2 linked regions of the Arabidopsis thaliana genome follow. The protein of the gene in region 1 interacts with the protein of each later gene in a pairwise test. Each region holds a gene or a part of one and is shown in the gene's direction. Other genes may lie near its edges.

Region 1 (3,819 bases):
TTTTTTTTTTTGGACAAAAAGGTGGGTTATTACTTATTAATTTCGATTAAGAGATTTTCATGGTTTCGTATTCGATTTTATTTTTCTTCTACCGAATCAGAACGGGTACTTCTTTTTGGGTTCAGAAACAAATTCATGTTTGATTTGGCTGGGGTATTATTAGTGGTATCAAAGCTATATAGAAAATGATTTTTTTTTTTCGGGTGGTGATCCATACCCTTACTATCCAACTAATTCTCTCAAAAAGTGTATACTTCGGCTCGCCGAATTTTTTAATGAACCTAAAATATAAAACAACTTCGATTGGTTAAGGGTATTTCCAATAGTGATCTTTATATTTTTCTCTATTTACAGAGGTGACTTTATTTTAGAAACATTGTGCTCTAATGGTTGTTGGGTATGTTTCTCATTGGGTCTTTTATAAAATAACTAAGCTTTAATTCCAACAATAGTTACCTCTAAAATAAAAGAAAAATAGAAATATCTACATTGTATCTCTATAAATAGAAATGTCTACAATTTATCTCTATTTTTCCTTTATTTTTTAAAAAACTCTATTTTAGAAGTGACCATTGGAGCACAATGCCTCTAAATATAATCATTTTTAAAATATAGAAAAATATAGAGGTAACCATTGGAAATGGTCTAAGTGAAAGTGATTTAGAAAGAAAATATTTTTTTTTATGCTAAGATATGGTGAAAATGCGAAATTGTTTAGATAAAAACATCATTTATGAAATGAGGAACATATAACATATCTGTTAGTCACAATTGAATAGTTTTCTCAATGATCTAAAACATAAAATAAATTAATCAGAAAAAGAATATGATGATGAGGAAATGTGATTATTTGTAAAATATATAAAATTTCATGACCCTGTTTTATTTTCTTTTTTTCAATTGTCCTTTGGCATTATAAGCCTCTCCATTCTGGGAACTTTGAAAAATCAATCACATCAGGCTCAGTTATCTTTTACTCAACCAATAAGTTGCTTTCCATTACCACTACCAATATTAATGTATAAAATAGATAAATATATACAGTTATATCTTTCATATTCATAATCACATGTTGTGACATTATTGTAATGACATAATACAAATATACACTTCTTTCTTCTTTTCAAAACCATATTTAACTCGAAATGAGGTCAAACTCAAATTATGATATGATATGGTGCTCATAAGTCATGGATCTAGTTTTTTATATACGTGTTTAAGTGGTTGTAGTGCATTAATCTATTTGATCGGATTTGAAGATAGATTAGAGATATATTATGTAAGCAAAACTATTAGAAAAGTTGAAAATATATAATTACAAAAAGGTAAAAACAAACAGAAAAGTTGGTAAAAATTAAAGCAAAGATCACACACACTTGAAAGCGATTTAAAGGGTCTATTGAATTGTTGTGATATTAAAGTGAGACCAAAACCATAGCTTATTGGTTACCTTTTCAAAACAAAGAATCTCTTTACCCACCAACTCCAGATTTAAGTATCATGCATTCATGCTAATTGGTAAATAATTCCTTCTGTAACATAAAAATGATTATCTTAGGAGAAAAAGTTTGACGTCACATAAGTCATAACTATAGATTTATCACTATCAAATTTTGGATTAAGTGACAAAAAGTCATTACATTAACATATTTTGATTTTGTTTTTTTTCTTTCTAGAACAATTACATCTCTGTTTCTTCTACTACTGGACCCAACCATCATGATACTAGAAATGACCATTGAGAGACAAGAAGTTCACAATCTTTCTCTCTCTGTCTCAAAGCTATAAGACATTTGACATCCCAAAACCAAAAAACAAAGCATTCTATGCTATTCTGTTCTGTTCTCCAATGTTGTCATCAGCAAAGCATAATAAGATCAACAACCATAGTGCCTTTTCAATTTCCTCTTCATCATCATCATTATCAACATCATCCTCCCTAGGCCATAACAAATCTCAAGTCACCATGGAAGAAGTATGGAAAGAAATCAACCTTGGTTCACTTCACTACCATCGGCAACTAAACATTGGTCATGAACCAATGTTAAAGAACCAAAACCCTAATAACTCCATCTTTCAAGATTTCCTCAACATGCCTCTGAATCAACCACCACCACCACCACCACCACCTTCCTCTTCCACCATTGTCACTGCTCTCTATGGCTCTCTGCCTCTTCCGCCTCCTGCCACTGTCCTCAGCTTAAACTCCGGTGTTGGATTCGAGTTTCTTGATACCACAGAAAATCTTCTTGCTTCTAACCCTCGCTCCTTTGAGGAATCTGCAAAGTTTGGTTGTCTTGGTAAGAAAAGAGGCCAAGATTCTGATGATACTAGAGGAGACAGAAGGTATAAGCGTATGATCAAGAACAGAGAATCTGCTGCTCGTTCAAGGGCTAGGAAGCAGGAATGTGTCTCTCCTCACTCTTCTACTTTCTAATTCCTCTAAATCAACAGAATCTCGTATTAAATCAACAATTCCTCTGTACTAAAATTGGTCCATGGATCTTTCAGGCATATACAAACGAACTTGAGCTTGAAATTGCTCACTTGCAGACAGAGAATGCAAGACTCAAGATACAACAAGAGCAGGTAAAACTAACACTGACTTCTTGCTTTAATGCCTTAGTCTAATTTTGTCTTGAGAAACTTGTGCATTACTTCTTGCAGTAACTTTTTCTTGTGAATGTAAGATTCTGCTACTTAAGGCCAATATTTTTATTTTTCTGTTTTTTGGAAAATACAGCTGAAAATAGCCGAAGCAACTCAAAACCAAGTAAAGAAAACACTACAACGGTCTTCCACAGCTCCATTTTGAGAAAAATCTACTATTTCTTTTTGGGGGAGTTTCAAGTGTTTCTTATGAAGATGAGAAAAACAGAAAAAGTTTGTACATTTTAGCTAAGTTAAATTTGTGGTGGTAAGTAATGTAAAAGAAAAGTGTGTGTAGAAGAAAAGTGTCTAGAAAAAGAAAGCAACTAACTTTCTTCTTCTTCTCTGGTTTCCTATCAACTCTTTTGACTTTTGTACTTTTTTTCTTCTCTACTTAACCTCTATTATTGTAATGCCAAGTCAAGTCCTTATCTAGCTAGTACATGAGTTTCTGTTTTCACTGGTTAAGCCATTACTGCACTGTATTGTCAGATGATATAAGTCTTCATAATGATGCTAAGAAGATTTTTTCTTGGTTGACTTCTTTTTGTGTATGCTTTATTAGCAACCAGAAACAACAGAGAAACAGAATAAATACCTAAGAGCAAATTTGGTAGCATCTAATGTTTTAATAAAAGTTGGGCCATGAATATGCTCACATTATAAAGTTGGCTTTATTAGTAACCAGAAACAACAGAGAAACAAAATAAACACCTAAGAGCAAATTTGGTAACATCTAATGTATAAATAAAAGTTGGGCAATGAATTTGCTGACTTCCTTCTTGTAGCAACTTTAAAGATGCTACAAATGCTTGCTTCATTCTGATCCAATAATATTTGTTCTTCTGATGCATCCACCTTCTTCCTCAAACATTTGGAACCAATCTAAAGGAATAATTAACAACAATATGATAGAGATGACATGTTATTCAGTGTAAATTTCTTAACTTTATTTAGCAGGCAGCACATAAAAAATGGGAAAGAATCAGCTAATCTTGATCCTCTATTTGACGAAAATAAAATCTTCAAAATACCAAAAGCTATGAACAAAATATTCAATCTGCAAAACTAACGTGAAAAACTCTTTTTTTTTTTCTTTGGTCACAACATGAAACCTTATTTTTCTGCACTGAAAATTTCATATTATAACTTACAAATTCAACCACAAAT
Region 2 (3,709 bases), on another chromosome or scaffold:
ATAAGTTTGATATATTTTGCTTTGTGCCTTTATTCTGATTAATTACCAAATCTTAATAAAGCATCAATCAAGACTTTCTAATATAAGAAAATAAATAAATTATTATTTAGTGGAGAATCCATAATAAGTTAATAATCATTATATTCAATAGGACAAAACCTTTGGGTGTGTTTATATTAGTCTACGGATTTTCTGATTTGTATAACACTTTTGGTATTTCAGATTAATAGAGTATTATGGTTGAAATATGCATTCGTAAAATCTTCGGAAGTTTTAAGGTTTTGTAACTAATAATCATATATAGAATCCCAATTTGAAGAATCGGTTCTTCACGTTGGTTTTATTGATTCGATAAAAAGAAGTTTTTTTAAGAATCAATGCGACAATGCGTTGTCGTTCCACGAGCAAGGAGTCCCAAATCTGCGATATGTTTCTTTCAAATAGCCTCTGAGCTAGGCCTGGGCATTCAGTTTCGGTTCGGTTGCGCATGGTTTCGGTTATTTCGGTTATAGTAATATAAGAACCATTTGGATATTTGAGGAATTTTGGTTCGGTTCGGTTCGGATATCTTTCGGTTCGGTTCGGTTTGGATATTAAACTTGGTAACCATAAATAAACTAAAACCGAAATAACCGACTAAAAACCGAAACAACCAAAAAATTTGACCAATAACCGATATAGAACGTACGTAAAAAAGAGAAATATTCACAACTCACAAAGATGGTCCATACTCTCCATAATATTAAAACACCTGATTCACAACTCACGAAATTCAACTTGCAAACTAATAAAGAGAAAAACATAGTTAAGTGTCAATACATACTGTGATATATTATCTATCATACATATATGCTTTGGTTTTCATTTGGTTATCGGTTATTAACCTAACCGAAACCGAAACCGAAATCTAAGACATATAATATTCAACCGGTTATTTTAAGCTATCCAAACCTGAACCGAACCATGTTTTTCGGTTCGATTCGGTTCGGTTAATCGGTTAGCGGTTTTTTTGCCCAGGCCTACTCTGAGCAATAATTGTATCCGGAGTTGTAATAGAATCAAAGTACGATGAGAGTGTTTTTATGACAAATATCTTAATCTTGGCCAATTATATGTTCTACTGAAATTCTTTTTGAATTCATCGACCAGTGAGACTTAAAAATAGCTTTTTATTCGCCGAGGTATATATAGCTAGGAATTTTGTCGAAATTTAGACGTTAGTGGGTTTTGTTCTTCGTGACACAAAAGATATTCTATATATTAACGAAATCTAGCGATCGATATGGTATTTATATAAAGTCTTGGTCATAGATAGGGGTTGAAACTTGAAACCATGCATGATATGCCAATGTTGCTGAAGCAGTCAATGTTGCTGAAGAAGTCAAACGTAATTATATAGTGAATACCAAAAAAGTGATATTTCTTAATTCAATTAAATATAATTATAGTTTTAAATCACCTAAAATAAGTTACTTATTAAAACCCCCCAAATTTACTTTAATATAGTTGGTGTACATGTTTGAGAAAGCAAACAAAAAGAAAAAGAAAAAGAAAAAAAAAAGAGAAAGAGGTTAGTACACATAATTGGGAATTAATGTCTATTGATTCTTTTATCTTTCTCTCTCTCTCTAAGACGGAAAACCCCTATAAATAGATGTCTCGGTCGTCTCTTTGTCTCCCAAATCACTACAAATCTCTCTTTTCCTCTAAGTTAACAAAAGAAAATGGAGAATATGGGAACTAGAGTGATAGAGCCATTGATAATGGGGAGAGTGGTAGGAGATGTTCTTGATTTCTTCACTCCAACAACTAAGATGAATGTTAGTTATAACAAGAAGCAAGTCTCCAATGGCCATGAGCTCTTTCCTTCTTCTGTTTCCTCCAAGCCTAGGGTTGAGATCCATGGTGGTGATCTCAGATCCTTCTTCACTTTGGTAAATACATATATTTAAATTATTTTATAATAATGTTGGTTTTATTTATATTGTGCCAAAAAAAACCATATAAAACGTCTCACTTCCTTTTCCTCTTACAAGTTTTCCATTTCTAACTCAATAATCTTATAAATTGTAGCTTTAGTTTTTATCATTCCTTTTTCCAGTCTTTTTTTTTTAATGGTAAAACTCAACCGAAATGCAAAACAGGTGATGATAGACCCAGATGTTCCAGGTCCTAGTGACCCCTTTCTAAAAGAACACCTGCACTGGTACGTTTAATTTATTTATTCTTTCTTTTCATTTTGGGCCCATATTCCATATACATTGCATTTAAATCATTTCGTTATAACCCTAATAAAGTTTTTTTTGGGTGTAAGTTATATACATTTGAGTTGGTCAAAGATCTCCATCGCCATGAGTTCTCAGAACTTTTTCTGTAAAGTAATAATATTAGTATTGTTGAATGTTTCAATAGGATCGTTACAAACATTCCCGGCACAACAGATGCTACGTTTGGTAAGGCCTCTTCATGAATCTTGTAATTTAAATACTTATACATATATCATGTTATATAGAAATAAAAATATTTGCATTGTAATATAGGCAAAGAGGTGGTGAGCTATGAATTGCCAAGGCCAAGCATAGGGATACATAGGTTTGTGTTTGTTCTGTTCAGGCAGAAGCAAAGACGTGTTATCTTTCCTAATATCCCTTCGAGAGATCACTTCAACACTCGTAAATTTGCGGTCGAGTATGATCTTGGTCTCCCTGTCGCGGCCGTCTTCTTTAACGCACAAAGAGAAACCGCTGCACGCAAACGCTAGTTTCATGATTGTCATAAACTGCAAAAATGAAAGAAGAAAATTTGCATGTAATCTCATGTTTATTTGTGTTCTGAATTTCCGTACTCTGAATAAAAACTGCCAAAGATGAGTTGAATCCGAAATATCAATTGAGTTTACAGAAGTATTGATAACGATCTGTCGATTATCAGAATAAAAACTAGATTAATTGCATATCATGTTTAGCATTGTAATACTACAAAAATAGTAAACTCTTGATTAATTAATAAAATCTAAGTTGCTGTAGTATATAAATCATTAAATCCTCATACATGGCTTGATAGGTCACATCACATGTAGTGAACCTTATTATATGATAAACGTGGAGATACGGAAAAGGATAGTTAAACGATGAAAACTTTTTTTAGTTCTGGTCAAAGTGACAAGACCTTGATGACCATCTAAAATATGATCCTCTCCTCTTCTTACTCGGCGATCATATTCATATCTATTTTCACGGCTGGTATTGTGACAAACAACCACCTTTTATTTTCAAAAAAAAATCTAATAGGCATATGTATATTTCTCTATAGGGACCCTTTCTCTATATATATATTTATTACATTCCAAAATTCAACGTCAAAAATATAGATTTATTGGGTATAAATCCCTCACTAGCGTAGACATGTCCGCGGTAAACAAAAAATGTCTCTGCCTACAAACTATATAATTCGAAACATATTAGATAGAAAAGTCAGTCTTCAATAAAATATTTATTATATGTATATATGAGGTATGAGATATAGTTTTTTGTCAAGAGTTTTAAGAAAAAATATCTATATTCAACCGAATAACCATTAAATAACAAGTCTTAATCATTAAAATGCTTACAATATTTTCATATTTTTACTTAAGATTTTACTTTTTGCTACCTTGCAAGTTGCAAAAGTATAATTAAGTAATTAACAGTCTAGTTTTTGACAACAAGAA

Evidence for each region.
Region 2: the proteins of BZIP27 (region 1) and TFL1 interact in a two-hybrid assay, tested with the Arabidopsis thaliana proteins (one study listed by BioGRID).

The regions. Positions count from the first base shown.
Region 1 is NC_003071.7:7,721,137-7,724,955, forward strand, and holds BZIP27 (basic region/leucine zipper motif 27), read left to right. Parts: upstream 1-1,688; 5' UTR 1,689-1,849; coding exon 1,850-2,437; 3' UTR 2,438-2,511; coding exon of another isoform or gene 2,512-2,589; intron 2,590-2,743; coding exon of another isoform or gene 2,744-2,815; 3' UTR 2,816-3,155; downstream 3,156-3,819. UniProt on the Arabidopsis thaliana protein: Transcription factor required for the transition to flowering promoted by FT.
Region 2 is NC_003076.8:1,023,812-1,027,520, reverse strand, and holds TFL1 (PEBP (phosphatidylethanolamine-binding protein) family protein), read left to right. Parts: upstream 1-1,648; 5' UTR 1,649-1,724; coding exon 1,725-1,934; intron 1,935-2,144; coding exon 2,145-2,206; intron 2,207-2,412; coding exon 2,413-2,453; intron 2,454-2,540; coding exon 2,541-2,761; 3' UTR 2,762-3,021; downstream 3,022-3,709. UniProt on the Arabidopsis thaliana protein: Controls inflorescence meristem identity and is required for maintenance of an indeterminate inflorescence. Prevents the expression of 'APETALA1' and 'LEAFY'. Also plays a role in the regulation of the time of flowering in the long-day flowering pathway.